Linked DNA regions of Danio rerio. The protein of the gene in region 4 purifies or fractionates together with the protein of the main gene of each other region. This does not show direct contact. Links are inferred from orthologs where the notes say so. Each region holds a gene or a part of one and is shown on either strand. Other genes may lie near its edges.

Evidence for each region.
Region 1: the proteins of vim (region 4) and sync purify together in Homo sapiens (affinity purification with mass spectrometry; 3 studies listed by BioGRID and IntAct, counting the BioPlex papers as one, with this or other methods). This does not show direct contact. The link is inferred for Danio rerio from reciprocal best matches to the Homo sapiens genes VIM and SYNC.
Region 2: the proteins of vim (region 4) and sqstm1 purify together in Homo sapiens (affinity purification with western blotting; 3 studies listed by BioGRID and IntAct, with this or other methods). This does not show direct contact. The link is inferred for Danio rerio from reciprocal best matches to the Homo sapiens genes VIM and SQSTM1.
Region 3: the proteins of vim (region 4) and gan purify together in Homo sapiens (affinity purification with mass spectrometry; 3 studies listed by BioGRID and IntAct, counting the BioPlex papers as one, with this or other methods). This does not show direct contact. The link is inferred for Danio rerio from reciprocal best matches to the Homo sapiens genes VIM and GAN.
Region 5: the proteins of vim (region 4) and xpnpep3 purify together in Homo sapiens (affinity purification with mass spectrometry; 3 studies listed by BioGRID and IntAct, with this or other methods). This does not show direct contact. The link is inferred for Danio rerio from reciprocal best matches to the Homo sapiens genes VIM and XPNPEP3.

What each region holds. Positions count from the first base shown.
Region 1 is NC_133194.1:33,456,815-33,461,416, forward strand, and holds the start of sync (syncoilin), read left to right. Parts: upstream 1-1,479; 5' UTR 1,480-1,768; intron 1,769-4,289; exon of another isoform or gene 4,290-4,307; 5' UTR 4,308-4,327; coding exon 4,328-4,602.
Region 2 is NC_133189.1:19,140,228-19,144,909, forward strand, and holds the start of sqstm1 (sequestosome-1), read left to right. Parts: upstream 1-1,420; 5' UTR 1,421-1,550; coding exon 1,551-1,719; intron 1,720-1,994; exon of another isoform or gene 1,995-2,237; coding exon 2,238-2,333; exon of another isoform or gene 2,334-4,436; coding exon 4,437-4,682. UniProt on the Homo sapiens protein: Molecular adapter required for selective macroautophagy (aggrephagy) by acting as a bridge between polyubiquitinated proteins and autophagosomes.
Region 3 is NC_133193.1:14,688,751-14,693,458, forward strand, and holds the start of gan (gigaxonin), read right to left. Parts: upstream 2,982-4,708; 5' UTR 2,839-2,981; intron 2,791-2,838; exon of another isoform or gene 2,723-2,790; 5' UTR 2,722-2,722; coding exon 2,531-2,721; exon of another isoform or gene 2,422-2,530; intron 217-2,421; coding exon 102-216; intron 1-101. UniProt on the Homo sapiens protein: Probable cytoskeletal component that directly or indirectly plays an important role in neurofilament architecture.
Region 4 is NC_133199.1:36,348,441-36,353,207, reverse strand, and holds the start of vim (vimentin), read right to left. Parts: upstream 3,281-4,767; 5' UTR 3,214-3,280; coding exon 2,678-3,213; intron 1,141-2,677; coding exon 1,080-1,140; intron 1-1,079. UniProt on the Homo sapiens protein: Vimentins are class-III intermediate filaments found in various non-epithelial cells, especially mesenchymal cells. Vimentin is attached to the nucleus, endoplasmic reticulum, and mitochondria, either laterally or terminally.
Region 5 is NC_133178.1:23,820,243-23,824,303, forward strand, and holds part of xpnpep3 (xaa-Pro aminopeptidase 3), read right to left. Parts: intron 2,859-4,061; coding exon 2,674-2,858; intron 1,054-2,673; coding exon 991-1,053; intron 1-990. UniProt on the Homo sapiens protein: Catalyzes the removal of a penultimate prolyl residue from the N-termini of peptides, such as Leu-Pro-Ala. Also shows low activity towards peptides with Ala or Ser at the P1 position.

The DNA.
Region 1 (4,602 bases), on a different chromosome or scaffold from region 4:
ATATTTAAAAATAGGCACTATCTTTATAAATAAACTGCATTTGCAATCTAAACAATTACATTCTCGACTAAAAAAAGCCTCAAAAGTACATTAGTGTATGTTATCCAACAGCAGCAATATTTGTTAAGTGTCCTCTGCTTCTGCTGTATGTGGGTGGAGTAATACACACGGGTGAAGGGTGAAGAGGTGGTACGAGTGCTGTTACTGACAGAATATCGCACAGCTATCAGCCAATCAGATTCAAGAACCAGACAGAACTGTTGTTTAAATTATTATAAAATATATATTATTGTACAATAATTTATATACTAAATAAACTTTGGAAGGAATATTTAAAACAATAATCTTTTATTTAAAAAGCACAGCGCAGCCCCCAAATACTCTAATTTTAAATCTTCAAACATTTATACGTTTTATACATTATTATACATGTTTTGCCTATATGTTAGCAAGATGTTTTTAATTATCTAAAATATGTATTGTTTTAGAACAATCACTTTTTTATATGTATATCTTTCATATGCAAGTACATGTATGTTTTTTAATTCATACACAAACATATCTATTACAGACTTATACGATGGAATGATGTGATCAATTTTATTTTCACAAAGCTTTTTTGAAACAAATTTGAAAATTTTATTTGATTTAGATGCAAAAACTTTTGATCAACGTACGTTGTTTTTTTACTTTACATTTCACATTTGTCATAATATATCTTCGATTAAATATTTAAAGTTATCACATCACCAGTTAACATGTTTGTTGAAACTAGCTGCCTCCCTAACTTAACTAATCTGTAATACATAAATTTAGATCAGACATCTATTTAAAGCAGCTGAGATAATGAGCAGGCATTGGCAGGGAAATTCGGTGCGGTGGACTCTACTAAACAAACACAAGCTACTTATATCTCACTGTCTAAAATGACTTTCTTGGAGCTTTAAATTTCCACTTAATTTTAATTCTGCTTGAGATCCAGGCTTTCAGGTCATTTCTGAATGTAGGTCAGTGCCGTTTAGGAAACCACAAAAAGCAACTTTTCCCCATTGGTTATCGTAGCATGCCAGTCTTGTGCGACTGACCTGCTTGAATTATTACATTTACATTACATTTACATTTAGTCATTTAGCAGACGCTTTTATCCAAAGCGACTTACAAATGAGGACAAGGAAGCAATTTACACAACTAAGAGCAACAATGAATAAGTACTAAAGGCAAGTTTCAGGTCTGTAAAGTCTAAGAAGGGAAGTGTTAGTAGTAGTTTTTTTTATTTTTTTTATTTTTTTTATTTTTTTTTATTTTTTTTTATTTTATTTTATTTTTTTATTTTATTTTTTTTTATTTTTTTTTATATTTATTTTTTTATTTTTTTTATTATTATTTTTTTATTTTTTATTATGCTGTCTCATGCAAACCCTACACTCGCCACCCATTGGACACTGACCTTGATAATTTGTTATAATATGTTTGTTATCTGCTGTCCTATTGGCTCCAGTGTTTAGGTTGCCTCCCAGAGGACCTCATGATTGCTGATTAGCTGGAGTTGGTGCCCGCGCTGTACAAGCTCATATTTCTTCCTCCTTGTGTTTATTAATAAATATAAACAGATTAAACGTTGCCTGGGCGATCTGTGGCATATGTTTAAACTCGGTCAGAGAGGGGCCAGACTACCTCCGTCCTATTTTGAGCTTCAGTTTGGTTACCAGCTCTTCAGTTTGGGTTCATTCCATGGTTATTGTCCTGGAACCTTGTTTTCTGGGTTGAGGTGAGTTGATAAATTTTTATAACAGCTATTTCTCAAAGGTTTTTGATTTCTGAATGTTTACATTGGCAGATTATCGCAGCTCTAGCTATCACTTCCTACTCATTGCAGTGTCTCTGTAGGTTTTCTTTCACACTTTGTTTCTATTCTTGCTGATGGTTTCAAAGTTGGAAAAGCTGGAGGAAACATTTTAATTGAAGTTAATAATCACTTTAAAACAACATATATGATACTAATATGTCTGCATGAGTAAACATGTTGAAGGAATGAGCAGTTGTCCATGTATGATGGAGGTTTTGAGTTCATTAGCACGGCTGGAATGTGCTCTGTCTGTTCCTGCTGCCAGTTTCAGCAGCAGCTGCTCTCTGTGCCCTATCAAGACTAGTGCAAGAAATACCAGCTCAGATCAGAAGATAAAAAATTTGTATAAATAGTTTGTTTTTCAGAAACGTATACAAAACTAATTACACAAAACTAATTACAACCTAAAATCAGAAAAAGTTGGGACAGTATGGAAATGCAAATAAAGGAAAAGTGATTTCTAAATTTACTATGATTTCTATTTCATTGCAGACAATACAACAAACAAAATTTACTGTGTTCCTCATGATTTTTATTGATTTTTTATTTAAATTTTTTTGTGAATAAACATTTATTTTAATTTTGGTTCTTGCAACACATTTTTAAAAAAAAGTTGGAACAGTAAAGCATTTACCACTTTGTAATGTTGCCATTCCTTTTCACAACACTTAAAAGACGTTTAGGGACTGAAGGTGTAATTTTGTCCCATTTTTTCTGCAAACAAGTCTTAAGGTGTGCAACAGTATGGGGACCTGTGCTTCAAAATGTGTCACACATTCTCTATCAGAAACAGGTCGGGACTGCAGGCAGGCTAGTCAAGTACCTGTAACCTCTTCCTCCGCTGCCAGAACTTTATAATGTGTGCAGAATGTGGTGTTACATGGTCTTGTTAAAATATGCATGGGCGTCTCTGGAAAACAAGGCTGCATACAGTGCTCCAAAATCTATATGTACTTTTCCGCATTAATGGTGGCATCACAGAAATTTCATCGCAAAGGTCACTGACACAACCCAATACCAAGAAAAACCCTGGCTTTTGATGGCTGGTAACAATCTGAATTATCATTTTCTTCTTTGATTTAGAGCACATGGCATCTATTTCTCTAAAAAAACTGAAATACTGATTTATCTGACCCCAGTACACGTTTACATTGTGTAATGGTGACTACTAGCCCTACATTGCTCCTGTCGCAATATTTTGTGGAATGTGTTGCATGTCTGAATGACAGGAAAGGATCTATATTTACAAATGAAATTAAGCAGATAAAACATGAAATATTTTGTGTTTATATTGTCTGCAATGAAATACAAGTCAAAGTAAATTTGGAAATCACAAATTTTTTTTTAATTTGCGTTTTCCACACTGTCCCAACCTTTTCTGATTTTGGGTTGTACAAAGAAACAACATAAAATAAAATTATGCACTAAAATAACATTTGGTAACACTTTATTTTGATGGTCCATTTGAATATTAGTAGACTGTCTGCTTAATATTAGTTGATGCTGCTCCTTCAACAGACATTTAACTGACTATAAGAAACTTTGCAAGTACATGTCAACTTACACTAAGTCTAACCCTAACCCCAACCAAACAGTCTACTTATAATCTAAAGAGAATTAGTTGGCATGTAGAAGCTATGTAACTTAAATTCAACAAACTGACCATCAAAAAAAACTGTCCTAACATACTCGAATAGTCCTTTTTGTGTTACTTCTGTAAGGTTCTTATGGCTTTTCCAAAGTTAAATTTAAGCACTTTCCATTTTTCAGAATTTTCAAGCATGGCAGATTACATACATACATATAGATATTTATTAAAATTTCAGAAGGCACAGATAAAAAAAGACAAACAATTCACTCTGCAAGCACTTGCACATACTCAAGAGTTTTCATTTTATGCTAAAGCAAAGATATTTATTTTATTTAAATAGTTAATTATTGTTACCTATAAAGTAAGATAAATTACAACGAAAGAAACACAATTGCATTTCCAAGCAGTTTCATGCACTTTATCAAAAATCTATCCACTTTTCAAAACTTGAAAAACTTATATATTTAAGTTGGAAAACTTAAAACTATAATTCAAGCATTTTCAAGGATTTCCTGCACCCATGAGAATCCTGAAAATTTACATCTCTCGCCCACTTCATGATGTTAATCACAGCTTTTTTGTTCAAATGCTATTCATACTGTTAAGTGTGTTCATGATCAGTCAGCTGTTTGACAAGTTTATGCAGCTGTCCCTCAATGACGCATTAGCTTCAGATTTCCTATCACCATCTTTTGCATTACTCAGAAATAACACAAGGCACACTGTACATGCTCTTAGTCTAAAATGAACTCAATCACCAACCCCAAGAATGCGTTATAAATAGACCTAATCACTAACAACAAGAATGTTGTTAACGCAGATCAATGCTTTGCACTTTGTTACATTAAACAGGTTTCACGTATTGTTCAGCTTGTAGGGCAACACGTAATATGGAGGATCAAGAAATGAACTGTGAGAAAGGAAATGGGGCTCTATCAGAGACGGAGAGAAAGTTTGAACCATTGTTTATTGAAGAAGAAGATGAGGACTATTTTGAAGACTGCATGGAAGAGATCGAGGCTGCTTTAACTCTTCCTGGAGAGTCCCTGCCTTTTTCACAAAAATGCAGAGAAGCTTTGCAAGCTAAGTTTAATGGACTTATGCAACAGATGTTGATGCAGTTGGATGATTTTGAGGCAGCCCATCCAACCATATCTACACCACT
Region 2 (4,682 bases), on a different chromosome or scaffold from region 4:
GGAGCTATATAAAAGAAACTTCTTCATCTTCTTAATGTTATTGATAATGATAATAATAATAATTATTATTATTATTGTTGTTGTTGTTATATCAATAAATGTGGATAAATCAAAGTTAATGTATGTGTAGATAAATAAAAATAAGGATATTAATATTTGTATATAATAATAATTATTACTACTAGTACTAGGCATATAATCATTATTACTCTAATATTGCTGCTGTTGCTGTTTTAATATAATATACATATCAATGAACAATAATGCATTTACAATTTAATTAATATTTGTTATAACATTGTTACTAAACTACTAATACTAGATTGTCATCATGTACATTAAACATTTGTAATCTCTATATACAGACATACACACATACATATGTGTGTGTGTGTGTGTGTGTGTGTGTGTGTGTGTGTATGTATGTATGTATGTATATATATATATATATATATATATATATACATATATATATATATATATATATATATATGTGTGTGTGTGTGTGTGTGTATATGTATATATATATATATATATATATATATATATATATATATATATATATATATATATATATATATATATATATATATATATAATGAGGTTGTGGTGAGTAAAATGGTTATATATGGTAAGAAAAATCTGAAAAAAAAACGGATGCATTAAGCATTGGCAAATTGTTGTTTCCTTATTATAAACAACGTAAGTTTGGTAGTGTAATGTTTCCTAGAGGTTTAAGCTTAAAATTTGATCAGTATACATTTGACAAACATTTCCTAAGGAAATGGCGACTGCTACTTCATTCATGATGACGCAGCACTTTGTTTAGCACCTGTAGCAGAAACACAACACCTCTTACCAACCACATCAAACTTGCAGGGCTTAGTAGAGCTTGTATTATGAGAAACTGGATTTCAAACAAAGCAACCAAGTTTATCTTGTACTAAAACAAAAATATTACCACACATTTGTATATGTAGGCATTTAAAAAAATGGATGTGGGTAATGTTTAACAGTGAGACTGTTACAGTATAGCAGAAGAACTTTTGTTTGATATTCACTTCTTAAAACAACTAAAATTAAGCCAAATAAATCTACAATTTGTATAAAGTATTACATGACATCCAGAACATGTATGTTTATAGCCCTTGAATATAACACTGCGTTTTTTGGCATTAATCCACTCCTATGATTTCAGCGGGAATTTCCCCTATCATATTGCCATGTCATTCCTCGGATCACCGAAAATCGTCCATTCTGTTTTCAAATGTGACTCACATGATCACAGACAACATGAACTCCGTCCTGCAATGACGCTGGACGTGGACATCTTTCTGCGAAGACACGCCCCCAAACTTGCGCTCCTCTCAACGATTGGCCGGCTCCTCGGCTGCATTAGCATTTGACGTACAAGGCTTATATACAGCACTGTCGGCTGAAGTAGGAAACGCATTTTCACGCAGCCAACGCAGAGTCCCGTGCTCGAGAAACGCATTTTCTACTGCGCAACACTTCCAGAGGTTCAGGGAGAGAAGCTATTTTCCGCTACGATGTCGATGACAGTGAAAGCTTACCTTATCGGTAAGGAGGACTGCAACAAGGAGATCCGTCGCTTCGCCGTGGATCAAGATGTCTCAACAAGTTTCGAGTATTTGCAGCGAAAAGTGCTCGATGTTTTTGTCGGTCTCAGGACTGCGCCCTTCCAAATGTACTATAAAGGTGAGTCAAATTTGAATTCTGAAATGTTTTTTTTTAATAACACTGATTTATTGCACAAGCAAGTGTGTGTTTGTGTCGTCTTTCAATGTTTTACTTGAAATGGCGGTTTATATTTATCTACGTTACTTGAAGTTTTAATAAAATTTCACGAAGCGATATTAGAAATAAAAAACTTGAGGAAAACGCACATAAATGTACATATTGAGAAACATAGTTTGCAGATTTTTATGTCTTTCTATGTTCAGTATTACTGAGCCATTAAAATGGATACTGCATTGTGAAACATCTTTGTTTATTGTTACATCCAAGTACAAAGTTTGATGGGGAACGTTTGTACTAGGCCGTAATAAACAAGCCATGAGCATAATATTTGAAATCCACTGTGCTTACTGAAAAGAAAACAGCAAAAACTTTTGTTATTGTTGTGTGTGGTAATCAACTTTTAATCAGACAAAACATGATGACAATCATAATAACCAGCAGAAATGCCATTCTGTTTTCCTGAACTTTGTCTCTAGATGAAGATGGTGATATGATTGCCTTTTCCTCTGACGATGAGCTAATGATGGGTTTGGCTCTTGTGAAGGATGACACTTTCCGTCTCTTCATCAAGCGTAAGTAACATACACAAACTATAACTACCATTTTAGGAAGGGGTTTCGATTATTTAAGAATATTATGTTATACCTGTAAATATAATTTCCTGCACATATTAAATGATCATTAGACTTAAAGGGATGGTTTAATCAACAATGAAAATGTACTCGCCCACTGAAGTAGTTATAGAATTTCTACATTTTGAAAAAAAAAAAATATATAAGTGCTGTCTGGAATTTCTCAGCCTCTTTTATGTTGAGAATAGTTTCTATAAAAGTGAAATTGCTGAACATACACACAGGAGCCTAATAAAAAATGCTAATTTTAGAGGAAGCTGAAAACCAGTAACCATTGATTTCCATAGTAGGAAAAACCATTTTTTTCTTTAGCTGAAGGGGGAAAAAAGTCAAGGAAGGGTGAATTTTTTTTGGGATGAACCATGTCTTGAATTTGCTTTTGGAATGTATCTGTTGCAACTTTTTATTACTCGCCGCAAACAAACTTTAGTTTGAGTTTAGCATGTTAGATGGTAATTTTAATATCTATGTTTGTTAAAAATAAATATCAAAAAACAAAACGACTGTGTTAAAGGTAGCAGTTAGGCTAGCAATACCTCATAAGGGTCAAAGACGTGGTTTTCATTTCTTTTTCCAGATCTATGAAGTCACTAAAATACTTTAGAAGTTCGCATAGACCGTGGCTTCAGTGTGTGTTTGTCAGGGCTGCATGATGTTAGGGGGAAAATAATCGAATCTAAAATAATCCTGTATAGTATTTATTCTATAAATAAAATACTGTTAACCTTTAATATTTTATTCAACCTAAATTCTGTAAATATGCCTATATTGTTTACAGAGTAACAGGCCTTAAAATCCCATGCAAATTATAAACTTTCACTCGTGATTGTCACGGTTTACAATTAATTCACACATTGTATTTGTTTTGTGATGCCTTTGCTACCGCCTTACTTTAAATCCTGCAGTTTGACTATCGTGAATGTACACACAGTGAAGTGTCAATAATGTGTGGGTGGTGCAACTCTTTGGGACTTTAAGTGTAAATGTAAGCCTAAATAGAATCTACAAATCCATTTTGTTGTCACAAGGAAACCATAAACGGGAATATCAGAGCGAACCTAACAAACAATCATATTTGGCTGCATCCAAAATCACATACTCTCTGTAGGTGGTGCTTTTAATAACTAGCTTCAGGCGTGTTCTATATAGTATGAATGCAATCTGCACCGACTGCATTCACATTATATTTGTGAAGTGACGTAAAGTTACAAAAGACATCTACCAGTTGTGTTGCTCCGCTGCCATTCTCAAAACATTTCCATGATCTCATGGGAAGGTAAATTTTTCCATCTGATGCATTCTTTGGAATATTACTAGATACAGCGAATTCTGGCATGCTACTTTTTGAATGCATCCAAGTTAGTAGGCTTTGAAAACATTGTTGTTGCGTTATGAAGACTAGATTAACTCAGAGCAGTTGGAGTAATTGTATTTGTAATATCAAAGTGTATTCTTCATCCTTAACTTCCATGTGTAAGCGTTCTCTTATTCTCAAGCTGCTGAGACAAACTTACTTAGGAATAGAGAGAAGTCATGAGCTAAGAGCAAAAGGCGTAGTCAACCTTGTTGCTCTGGATGACGTCAGCATCTTTAATAACTATGCAAACAGTGATTGGTTGATGGGGAGTCTATCAGAGATTGATTCAATAAAACTTTGTAGAGAACAATATTTCGTTGCCCTATTCAAATAGGGGGGGGGGGGGTAAATATTTTTGAAAACCTTTTTCTTTCCATAAGGGAATACTAGTGAGGATCTTTTGTGAAGATTTTGATTGGTTCTTGGATTCACTCTTGTTATTTGAGTACTAGAATACTATAAAACTAAAACACCTGCCACTTACATGTGCACAGTTTATAAGGTTGGAAAGATTACATGATTGGAAAGAGCGTCTAATGATGACATTAGATTTAAAGAGTGTGAATACTTTTTCATCTTGGATTCATCATTACGTACTTTGACCATACAAGCCTTTGAATATCTCAGATCTTTTGCAAATAGACATCTTCAATTAATAGCAATTATGTTATTTCCTTCTTTTTCAGAACGAAAAGAGCACAAACGTGATTCTTCTCCTCATGGAATTCCTGGGTTTCCGTTCACTACACCTCACTTTAGCCCTCCTGGTCCCTGTCATATGGGTCCATCTCCAATGGGGCCTCCAGGACCACCTCATATGGGGGGTCCTCCTCACCACCCTCACCCAATGGTGCACCCAGGTGTGACCTGTGACGGGTGTGATGGGCCGGTGGCTGGAACCCGTTACAAGTGCACCGTTTGCCCCGATTATG
Region 3 (4,708 bases), on a different chromosome or scaffold from region 4:
TTCATGATATTAACAAGCTAAAAAACAATCATTTTAAATCTTCAGAGTTTCAATGGCTAAAGGAAAGAAGCATACAATGTATAGATAGTAAAATAAATTACCTCCCCACTGAAAATATAGTCTAATATCTGCCTCATGGTGGTCACTGCAATCCCCTGCAACTCGATTTTGTATACAGATCCATCCTCCTTTGGTGGGTTGTAATTTAATTTGGTCCTGGAAACACAGTAACACAAAGTAACATGAGTTTGCATTCACTGTGGATCTAATACAATGGCTTACTATAAATCTTGGAGATCTGATAAATAAAAGGCTCTACACTACATTTGTAAAGGTTTTTTTTTTTATTATTTGAGAGGAAAAACCTGTTTTCCGGTCAGGTTTTTCATGTTAACCCTTTGGGGTCTGAGTGGATTGTGGGGCACTGGATAAGTTTTGACATTTGTGATTTTTCAGCTTCTTGTAAATGTATTAATTGCTGAATGCAACATTATGTAAGCAGCAAAAAAAAAGAATATTAAATTGGGCTAGTAATTTTTTTGGACTCTTATCTTAATTTATTTGTTAGATTAGCTTCAGATTTGGCCTAATCTAATGTACATCCACAAGTATATTGTATATCATCCTTTAGAACATATTAATTTAAAAGAGAGATGTGTATACGTTTTATTTTTTTGGTTAAACTTATTTAAAAACAAAAAGTGATATACGAGGTCAGAAAAAAAAGTCACTGAAATAATGCCAAAACAGGTGTAAATATTTTTATTTAAAACTTTTGTCTAAAATGAGGAAGGGTAGTTTCTACAAAATTATATGTAACGCATCCTGCCCACTCACTCATATTAATAAATCTATCTAACTATTTTTTCAGTAACATATTGTGGACTGTTTTTATTTTCTTATATTCTTTTGTGCACAACAGTGACAAAAACTACTTTTGTAACAGAATTAATAACTCTCTAGTGAATTGCAACCAATAAGGAAAAAGGGACATTGATACAGTGTACCAATTCCCACAGCGTCCTTTTATTGCTCTCATCCATGCAAGACAATTTGGATTATGATAATTATAGATATGACTTACTACATAATTACAACTTTTAAAAACAAATGTCAACAGCAACAATTTTGAAAAAGACGGGAGAGTAGAAGTAACTTCATTTTGTTTAGTAGTGGTAACTCAGAAGTTTTGAAATTTTTTCACAGAAATATTTTTATATGATTTTATAAGATTAAGTTTTTCTATTTATATGTTCTGCTTTCATTTTAATTGTAGTCCAGGTTTTAGCAATTTTCTTATATCTAATAAAATTTATAGTCTTTTTTCTTTTTGTTTACATACACTAAAAATTAAATGATCAATAAGTCATGATAATGAATGTTTTCATGTTAATTATAACTTAATAAAACACATTAATCACAATTCTAACTTAATCTTTTAGATCAATATAAAAGCCATTTTAAGCCAGTTTAATTTTAGGTCAAATCCCTTATAAGGTTAATATAATTTAACTTAGAAATTTAAGACAACGCTGTTTTAATGGTGTAACTATTTGCCTAGCTTAACATTTTAGTACTTAAATGAACTTGAGAATGACAAATGCCTTGAATTTATAATAATTGTGCCTTGAATATATAACATTGCATAACATTTAAATAAATGATACAATTTCATCTTATTTAATAATAAAATCACTTTTCTTAATGATTCAGTTTAAAATTAAACAGCAGAACATTAAGAACTTGTGAAAATAGAGTAATATAAAATTTTTGTAATTATTTATGTGAGTTTTGTGGCCTTTTTGAGGCCTTTCAGTAACCATTCATTGTCAATGCACAAAATAATATATTTACTTAGCTAATTATTTTAGTTACTTAGCTATTTATTATGAGTATGATATATATATAATAGCTTTTTAAGAAATAAATGATACTATTTTAACTTTTAAAGCAAGTAATGAAATAGCTTTTCTTAAGGATTTAGTTTAAAAATTTAATATTAAAATATTAAGAACTTATATAAGCCTTTGATTTATAATAATTGTGCCTTGAATATATAATATAGGTTTTAAAAAATATACTATTTTTTTCTTATTAGGTAATAACATCTTTTTTCATATTTTCTTGTGGATTTAGTTTAAAATTAAATAGCAGGGCATTAAGAACTTGTGAAAATTGCATAATATGAACCATTTTTGTAACACTTTTATGTGAATTTTGTGCCCTTTTTGAGTCCTTTCAGTATTCATCCATGATCAGTCATTAAAACAGTTTCTTTTGTGTTCTGTATGCCTTTTACAGTATGTGCTGCTGGTTAACATGAGGGCGTGTAAATTACTTTACTCTTCTGTCTTTTTTGAGAAAACTATTAATTTAAGTGACCCAAGCAACAGGCAAGGTGGAGCTGTTTGGCACACCCATATGACACATTGCTCAAGGGTCTGCAACATGTCTGAGCAAACATAGCAGCAGCTACTCATCTGATCTCACCTCATGCAAATCTATTCAAGTTTCAGGCATTTTCCCATACCTGATGTACGGACTAGCAGCAGCCAGAATGTTTTTCTGCACAGGAATCTGTTCACCTTCCAAAACCAGCACTGCATCTTGAAAACAGTCGTCCTGTCTGAAAGACTGAAGGACCCTGAGAAGCTTCTGGGAGTGCTGAGGGTCCGAAACCACTGATCCAGCATCAGCGCCAGCTCTTTTAGGGTCTGACATGCTGTAACAACACGTACAGTACAGACAGATGTGCTGTTAACACAACACAACAACAGCAACATGCTCCAGGTTTGTGTTGAATAAACAAAATGACAGGTTTAAATCATATAAACTCACTCAAATGTGCGTCAATTAAAGTTGTTCTGGGTATTTGCTAACTTCAGCCGCTCATAGCCATCTGTGTGTGTGTTTCAGGACAGCGAAAACTGCAGAAAAACAATTCTCGGCTGCTTCATGTCATGGCACTGCACGACGTCACCAGGAAGAGCATTTAACTTAGGTTTTTCAAAATAAGAGCCCCCTTTTTTGAAAACAGCACTCAGGTGTCTAATTTCTATATGGCGCAGGTGTCAAACTCCTGGAGGGCCACTGCTCTGCACAGTTTAACTTTAACCCCAATTAAAATACACTTGATCAAACTAATTGGGTCCTTCAGGCTTATTTGAAACAAAGAGCATAGCGCAAGTTATTTGTTTGGAACCTAAGTGTGTTGAAGCATAGTTGGAACGAAACTTTGCAGGACTGCAGTCGCCCTACAGTATATATATATATATATATATATATATATATATATATATATATATATATATATATATATATATATATATATATATATATATATATATATATAGTATGTGTTTTTTCAACACATTTGTAAACATAATAGTTTTAATAACTCATTTCTAATAAATGTTTTATTTTATCTTTGCCATGATGACAGTAAGTATAATATTTAACTAGATATTTTATTAAGACACTTCTATACAGCTTAAAGTGACATTTAAAGGCTTAACTAGATTAATTAGGTTAACTAGGCAGGTTAGAGTAAGTAGGCAAGTTATTGTATAATGATGTTTTTTTTCTGTGGACTATCGAAAAAAATAGCTTAAAGTAGACCGAAATAAGGTCTTTATATATATATAGCTGTTTTAAAGACTAATTATACTGTGTATAATTAAATTATTGCAATAGTTTTGTAAAGTTTGTAGCTTAAGCTATTTACATGCTATTTTATAGCTATTTATACTAATATGTAGACTCCCTGGCTAACATTCAAATTACTTCACGAGGACAAAAAGTTTTTAGAGATTTATACATTCACACACACTTTTTATTACATTTATGCAGCATAAGTCATACACGTTGATTAATTTAAGTTTTCATATCAGTGTCAAGATTCATGTCTTTGAAACAGCCACTCTTTGCTCAGGTGTAATGGATTTAAATGAACAATTTACAGGACAGTAAATCCCTCTGTTGCTTAGTCATTAAAAGTGTCATCAATCACTGCTTCCTGTCAGGACATTATATGGGAGAAGAGGTTGGTGTACGCTGGACAAATCTGCCCTTTATGCATGAAAAGAAAGAGTATTAAGCTTCTGATTTATGACGACTGGTGACCTCGAATATGTGAATGAGTGAGAAGAAGAAGAAGATTGAATTAATCTTTCATTAAGAGAGAGCTATATTGTGATTTAACACCCGTTTGTGGCGCTGATCGGCTGTGCCAGTTATCATAAAGAGGCCAGAGCTGTTCTCTTTAATTCTGGTGATTCATACGTATTTCAGTGGAATATAAAGAGGAGATTTTAATTAGAGTCTGTAGGATATACCCTTTACCAAGTATAAAACCTTTTATAGCGTATTAAATTGGCCTGGACTTTCCGTGACTTGGCATGTCCTCTAGTGTTAATGAAAAATACCCTCCGAGCACTAGATGGCGCTCACGGAACATACATTCAAAATTACTTGTTAGATTATGGTTATAAATGTCTCCAAAAACTGTAGACAAATAATACACATTAAAAAAAGACATAAGTGGCTAAGTTATCATCTCTACAGTGTCTGTGAGTTTGATAATCCATTTTTTAAAGCACGTCTTTGATGCCAGATTCAATATTCAGAGGCTTATGCAAAGCCTATTTTATCTGACTCTTTCAAGCTTAAACCACATATTCATCAATAATATTCTCTTTTATATTCAGAG
Region 4 (4,767 bases):
ATTGTCTTTGCTCTGCTAAGTATTGAAAGTAAGTTTTGGAAATATCGACCTACAAAATTTCAACAAAGTACCCCTTTTTTTGCTTCTGATTTTTTTCCTATTTTTTTTTTATGTGTATTTAATATTTTTCTCTAACATATGAATTTAGATGTACTAGTTTTTGGACCGTTAACATCAATTATTTTGTTAGATAAGCTCCAGATTTGGCTTTAGTACTGACTAAACTAATATATATGCACAAATATAATATTGTACAGCTTCCTTTTAAATATAATTCTGACTTCAACTCATTCATTCGTTTATTCATTTTCTTTTTGGCTCACAATTCGCTATGGTTAAGTTGAATTTAAATTTATTTAATAAGATTCACCCCAAAATAAACTCCACATGCTTTTATAATACACAGTAAAAATGTCACTAGAAGAAACTAAAATAAATATAATATTATATAACATATTATATAACATATAATATAACATATAATAGGAAATAGTAATACTGTGAAATTGTCTTTGCTCTGATAAGTATTGGAAGTAAGTTTTGCGAAAGAATTGGAGGGCTAACAATGTCATCTTCGACTGTATGTAAATTCAACTTAACCAATGAATAACAATAGCTCGCCCGCTGCCAGTAATTTGTTCAGCTGCAGCTGTGGGTGGCAGATACTCTTTAAAACACATGCATATACACAGACACACACACATCCTCTTCTCTGCGTCCTCCATAAGTCACCAATGTCCCCTAGTTAACGCCGTCTCCTCCCATCCGCACAACAGTTTGCTTTGTCATGAACAGCCAGCCGGCTCTCAGACAAAGCTTTGTTTTCAGCGGTGTGTGTCTAAATCTGATGCTGGCCGAGAGGGCAGCTTGACCAGGCCTGCGCTGACCCTTTGATTGTGCACAGACTGCTCACAATAAGACTTGTCTTGCACACACTGACTGGACCGACTGTTAACTGATCGCAGCGTAATAGTGGCTTTGTTTGCACTCGATCAAACGTCAGGTTCAAGAATGACAACCATGCATGCGCAAATAGTTGTTTGTGGTGATTTCTTTACTGTGAATGTGAGCGGATGTACCTGTCTGAAGCTGCGGAGGCTGTTCTCAGCATCTTCTCTTTGAAGCATCTCTTCTTGAAGTCTGGAAATGAGATGCATATTTAAGCAGAGCCACACCCTTTACTATAAAAACAGCCTCGTGGAGCATCACACAGTGGATAGAAATCAGTAATCAGTTTATTTTAATTTACTGTATCAAAACATGAAGAAATTATGTTGTTTTTTTTCCTTGATAATGTTAAAAAAAAGTTTATAACAGAGATTTGCGCCAATAGAAATTCAACATGCTATTATTTGACACTGAACACTGTTTAAAAATGTCAGCTTTTTTTAAATTCAAGCCATTAACATGATTTAATATTAGCATTTATGCTATGTAAAATGGTTCCTGTTTTAAAATATTTGATTTTATCATTATGAACTGTATATCTGATCATATTTTAATGAAATGTCTTAAGAATTGTTAAATCTCTGTATTAAACAAGTCATTTTTATATATTATATAAATTAAATTATATATTTATTATATATATTTTTTATTTTAATGAAATACTGTCATAATGATTACACTATTGCACAATTGCTAGCCTATGCTTAACACTTTTTTATTTTATAGCAAACATAAAAGATTGCCTATACATTTAAAATGAAGTATTTCTAAACGAGTCATACGTTTTACAAAGCATTTTATAATGCATTGTTAGATTATACTAACAAATGTCAATTTAAGCATTACGAATGTATAGGCGATGTATTTTGGTGCATTTAAACAAAACAGATTTACTAAACAGATATATTTATTAAAATATTATTTTAGTCACCAAACATAGTTAAAAATTGATGGATAAAACAATTAAATTAAAGCAAAATATTGCAAAAACTAAGTACGACCTACAAAATTTCAACAAAATTTTCCCCTTTTTTGCTTTTCTGGATTTTTCCTCTTTTTTAAATTTGTATTTAATATTTTTCTATAACATAAATTTGGCTGTACTAGTTTTTCATTAATTATCATAAGTTATTTTGTTAGATAAGCTCCAGATTTGGCTTCAGTACTGATTAAATGTACCCTATATGCACAAATATAATATTGTATCGCTTACTATTAAATATATAAATTTAAAAGACAGATCTGTGAGGGGTGTACTTATATATGTTGAGCACTGTATTTGCCTAAAAATGCTTTTATCGAAAGAAAGAACTTTTAACCTCAATGGAACCTTTTAATTTCCCAAAAGCTTCTTTACAGTGGAAAAAGATTCTCAAAATGCTATGAAATTGTTTTAAAATAGTTTTTGAAGAACTTTTCACTAAAATTTTTGAGATCCAGAAAGGATCAATGAACAATAAGCACAATAATAAATATTTATAATAATAATAATAATATTTATATTTATCAGTAAAGTTTAATTTAGTTATGACTAACCTATAGGCTGTTTAAGTATAAAAACATAGTGAAAGTTACAAAAAAACAGACAAACATTCATCTGTTAACCTTTTAAATGCACATTAAGTTAGCATAAAATAACAAAAACAAAACGTAAAACATATTATGTGCGCCTGCAAGTTATTTAACACTTGACACTAAGTTTTTAGACAGTAATAGTGCCAGAACAGACCTCTCCTTGAGGCGCTCGATGTCCTCCCCTAGGTTGTCCCGGTCCACCTCCACTTTGCTCTTTTCCCCGGTCAGCTGATCCACCTGTCTCCGCAGCTCCCGCATCTCATCCTCGTACAGATCTCCGACCCGGGACGCTCCTTTGCCCCGCAGCTGCTCCAGCTCCGCGATCAGGATCTTGTTCTGCTGCTCCAGAAAGCGCACTTTGTCTATGTAACTGGCGAACCGGTCGTTGAGGTGCTGCATCTCCGCTTTCTCATTGGTCCGGTTGGCTTTAAACTCGGTGTTTATGGCCTCGGCAAGCCCGAAATCCAGAGTGTCGGTGGCGAGTCTGGGAAGGGGCGCGCCGGAGCGCACTCTCAAGCTTTTACTCGCGTACACGGATGGAGGCGCGCTGCTGTAGTTGTAGGACGTGCGCGAGGAGGAGACGCGCACTGGGCTGCTGTACTGCCGGCTGGAGAAAGTGGACCGCGCCGCCGCGGGACGCTCCCCGCCGAACATCCTTTTATAGGAAGATGTGCTTGTTCGACTGGCCATGGTAATCCTTTAGTTTGCGGGTTATTGTTGAAGTCTAAATATCGCACCCTGTCCAGACCAAACGGGGATACTGCGGAGGTTCGGCTGGTTTTTATAGTCCACTCCCTATGCTAATGACATAACGGTGCGGGAGGCTCTGTGACGCAGGCACGCCGCCGGGGCGGAGGGGTGAGGAGACCCTCCAGAACCTGCAGTGAGAGAGTTTCATGGGGAAAAAGCTGGAAGATTTGTTTATTTTTTGTTAGAAGATTTGTTCAATTCTTTATAAAAAATATATGCAAAATGCAGGGTTCCACACAAATCCTACATGTTATATATATATATATATATATATATATATATATATATATATATATATATATATATATATATATATATATATAATTTTTTTGTACAAATTTAAGTGAATTGAACATAAACCAATCAAGTTGTCCCCCCAAAAAACTTAAGAACTGTCTTGTTTCAACTCATTATAAATAAGTAGTTTAAACAAGCAGCAAAAGTTATTTTTACTGAGTCTGTTTAGCCAATTTATGTTTAGCATTATTTAAAAAATAAAAATGAATTAATTATTTAGGCCTTATTGATCATCATCATCATATATTAACATAGCCTCTATTCTACCAGGAAAAAGCACATTGAGATTAAAAGTCTCTTTTACAAGAGCCTCCTGGCCAAAATTAAGCAGTTCGGCTTAACAAAAAAAAAAAAAAACAGATAACATCATTCATCAAAACAAGCAAAAAAATTACAGATCAGTCAGAACATCTACAGACCAGTGTTTCAAAATCTTTTTCAAGGTATGTAGAGAAACCAACTCTTTCAACTGCAACTTTGATTGCAGGTTATTTCATGCAAGGGTTGCTATTTAAAAGCCTTTTTTCCCCTTATATCACCACTGGTACAATAAATTAAATTCCTGAGACTAAAGGCTATAGAGACAGTTTTTTTCTTTCACAAATGTACGTTTGCAGATATGAGGGGAGTAAACCCAGGATAGATTAATAGACAAAGATATACCAATGCTTGAACCGATGGGTGGACAAAGCAGACCATCCTACCTGAGAGAACAACACAAAATGATTGTGGGATTTGTGGGATGAGTGAGGGATTTAATATTTGTCATAAACCTCAGTGCACCACAGTAAACAGCATCTAATTATGCTTATTAATATTGTTGAGTTATTTTTTAATTAACTTTGGGGTAAATAGATTGAGGTATTAAGCAGATTTGTGAATAATAATTGAATAATTTAGGTAACTTCTGAAAGAAGATTTTATTCAAGTCAAATTATGTATTTATTTGTTTATTTAATGTTAGTACTATTTAATACCTAAGCATTCACTGATGGGTGTCATGGTGCTACGCAGTGGGTAGCATGATTGCCTGACAGCAAGAAGGTTGCTGGTTTGAGCTGTGAATGGGCCAGTTGGCATTTCTATGTGGAGTTTGCATGTTCTCTCCGTGTTCGCATGGGTTTTGCATGCTCCAGTTTGCCCCACAAGTGCAAGTTCAAAGACATGCAGTACATATGAATTGGGTAAGCTAAATTG
Region 5 (4,061 bases), on a different chromosome or scaffold from region 4:
TCACGAGTGGTGATTTGAGTTTCCGTTGCCTTTCTATTCGTTTGAATCTGTTTTTTGTCCTCTGACACCAAAAAGCAATGTGACCACTCTGTAATAATCATTTTCTGGCATGACGGTGCGTGAAAATCCCAACAGATTGTTTTTTTTTTCTGAAATATCCAAACCAGAAATTTTGGTTCTTACAACCATATACAGCTACATTACAAAAAGAATTGTTCAGAAGTAAGATTAACAATTTTTTTTTCATTGTTATAAGACAAGCAGCAAAGATGGTCCATGCTCAATTTATAATTTTTTCTCTTTTTTTTTCCTTCTTTCTTCCTGATATATAACTTTTTCCATTCTAATTCTGTGCAGTGATCCTAATGAGACTAAAATGAATCTGCTGGTCAACTGATTGTGAACTCCTGACATGATGACTGAGTATATAAGCATCAAACAATAATGAATCATTACACTGATGAAGGCTCATAGCTGAAACTTTAGTTTTTCTTTTCTCCTGTTGTATTGTTTAATAAATGATTGTGTTTTAAGGAACTTTGGTCCTAGCAACAAACTCTGGATTTATATTTGACTGGATGTTTTATTTGTTATGCCACATTGTGTTAAATATTTGAAAGTACACTTCTGAAAATGTTAGTGTTCATGCCAAACTGTACAGTATTATGCCAGATATGTGGAACGATCAAAACATAAGAAAGACTGCTATAACATTATGCTAGTTAAAAAGTGACTGAGAAGAAGCAACAAAACAGCAGGAATAAATACAATTTAAAATGTATCAACTTAGAGAAAAATTAATAATTGACGGTTATTATAAAAATTTTAAATATATTTTATACAGGTGAAGTTTGATAGACATAAGAAACTTAGTACAAAAATAAAAATAAACTTCTTAAGACCATTAAAGCATTAATTATTTTTTAAAAATATTACAATCTCTACTGCATAACCATGAATTTAAAGACTGTATTTAGTCCCTTTACTCACCTTTGCATAGAGAACAGCCTCATCAATGTTTCCTCTTGACATAGCCATTGTCTTTTTAAATGCCTGAGGATAAACACAACTAAATTTTTAACCTTGAACTAGTCTCTCTAAACCAATCTGATCTTAGGTTTACTCAGCTCACAGACTTTTAAGTGCAATCACATCAGTTAGCAAGGTCACGCAAGTATTACAGCTAATGTAAAAAGCACACAAAAAGTTTTCATAATGCTGTTTATGTCAGTGAATGTAAACATTTCTTGAAGAAACTGAGCGTATCAGTATATTATATGTCTCAAACAGCCAACAACATGCTACTAACACAATTCAAAAAAGCCTCACCCTTCAGAAACTTTTCACTACTAGGGTTGGCAGAAATATTGATTACAATCATACCAATTGATACTAAAATTTTCAAAAATATATCAGCTGAACGATCATAGACAGATCAAGATAGACACTGTTTTCAAAAGCTCTAGGTTTCAACTATTATTTGTTTGCGCTTATGGCCCATTTCTACTGAGTGTTATGGTATGGTACGCTTTTATGGCCATTTCCACAGTCAAAATGAACCTAAAAGCGAACCGTACCACACCACTTTTTATGCGTCTATATTTAAACATAATGAACTTCTTGAGCTGATGATAATAGCGTGTGTGTGTTATTAATAAAGTGCTTCTGACATCCGATCCTTTCAGAAACGGACAAACGCGAGAGTGACTCGCGAAAAAACAAAGGAGAATCCAGAAAAACAAAGGAGCAAATAACTGCCATGTTTAACTATTATCATCACCTTTTAGACTATTATGAACTCGGGAATGACGGAATTATTTTTTAACAGAGGTTACATGTGCTGGTAAAGATTGAATATACAGATGAGAGGTTTGCACTGACTGTGGGCTATATGTTGTGTGTTGTTTTTGAACCCAAATAAAAACTAAATGTATGCGTTGTGTAGTTTTTCTGTAATTGGTAACATATCTGAGACTGTAAGGGTCTGTGTGTTCATAAATGTTAAATTTATTTATTTATTTTATATAATTGCAGACGTTGCAGTAGGCTATTTCGCACTGTAATTGATCCGCAGTTCTAATCAAATTACGTTCATTAGGTTAGTAATAAACATTTATACACAAGTATTTTTTGTGTATAAAGCATCTTGTGAGAAGTGCTTCTCATATGATATGTAAACGACCCGTAAAGCTTTAGTTTGACATTTAGCTTAAGTGAGAATGACGTCGACTGAAACTTTCTGGCATACACTACGCCCACCAAAATTGGTACCCTTTTGGCAGTGGAACCGCAAGCCTGATAAAAGTGATTCGTACCGACCCGTATCAAACTGTACCACTCAGTGGAAATGGGCCATTAGTGAACAACGGTGAAGCAATGATCTTCAGAGCCAAACAGTCATATCTGGTGACCACATGAACACAATGGGCAGTTAGCAGTTTAAAAATGTGCTCAAATGTTCAAGGAAAATGGAAATCTTTAAAACATCAGTAGCGATTAATACCGAAGTCAACACTTTTGACAACCCTAGTGGTTACTAATGTACAGAATAATTCCCACTGAAGAAAATTGTCATTTTGCAAATCCTTTTCAATCTCAAATGGCTAAATTATGCACTATGACCCCTTTAAAGTATTTTTTCCAAGACGTACAGTACTATTATGGATTCACTACCTGAGCAGTGATCCGTCCTGCCTCTTTCATCAGTGCAACCTCTGCTGGGCTCTTAATGGCTCTGAGGGAATGAGTGAGGGGTCGGAGAGACTTCACCAGCTGTCCTCCTTCCAACAGGGGGCGCACATGAGTTTGATGTAACCGTGGATGACAAGGCTGAGAGTTGTCATACCATACAGTTCCTCCTAAGAAAAGGGAAAAAGGAATGGAATTTACCTAGTAAATACTGTCTCACCAATAAAGTTTAGGAAGTGACATAAACTAATTCATTTAATTTGTCAAGTGAAACAAGTTGTTAAAATCTTTTTTAATGACATGGAATCTTTATGCACTTTTTGTGAATTAGAGGAAGAATCGATTAAACACCTGTTTTTTGAATGCACATATACAGTTTTCTTGTAAAGATTTTTTTTTTTGATGTACAATATTAATAACAATAAAATTTGAGCAAAATTTGTTTATTAATTTAATGATTATATATGGGAAGTACCATGTGCAAAAACAAAAATGGTCCAACGACAAACCTAATATTTATTTGTTTAAAATTGATCTTAAGCATTATATTGAAACCCTAAAAGACATTAAAAATGAAAAAGCTATAAGGATGTACGCAATTTTGGAATCATTTTCTCTTTTTCAATTTTTTTGTAATTTATATATCCCCTGTAATTTTATTTATTTTTTTTATTATTCTTTACTGATTTGTTCCTTTGATGTGAAAATGTAAGCATTGTATTTATCATATTTTTGTATGCTATTGTTCTTGTTATGCAATAAAAAAGGAAAAAAGGAGGCTGAAACCAGAGCCAAAGAGAAAATTGCGAGAGCTTGTGGAGAGACTCTCAATAATTCCCAGAAATTAGCACTTACAAACAGGTGATGCACCTTTGAAAAGCACGACGTTTTGCAAAAATAAGTTTGATAATGTGTAAGATTTAACATCATTTAATATTATTTGAATAAACCGCAAAACACTTCCTGGAACGATTTGAAGTTCATGAATCATGTGACGATCAAACATTACGCACCTCCGTTGTCGCAAACGTCTTTCTCAATTAGGCATAGAACGATAACCGGTTTCAAGGTTTACTGCAGTTTGAAAAAGTCAAGGTATTAAAACTGCTTGTTACACCATTTCTAAGGTATATGTGAAGTTTTTTCTTTTTGTGTTGTAAGGAAATCTGTGTTTTTGAAACTAATGAAGACAGCAGAAGTCAATAGTTTATTTTAATTATGTAGTCTGACATGTTTATTGTCCCAAAATAGTATAAATGTTTTCTAAAATGTAATATATTGTGTTATATGGGGAAAGAAGTTGTTGTTTTTACCAAGACATTTAAAATAATTTTTACAGCAGTAAACACAATACCGTCATACCGTGAAACCGT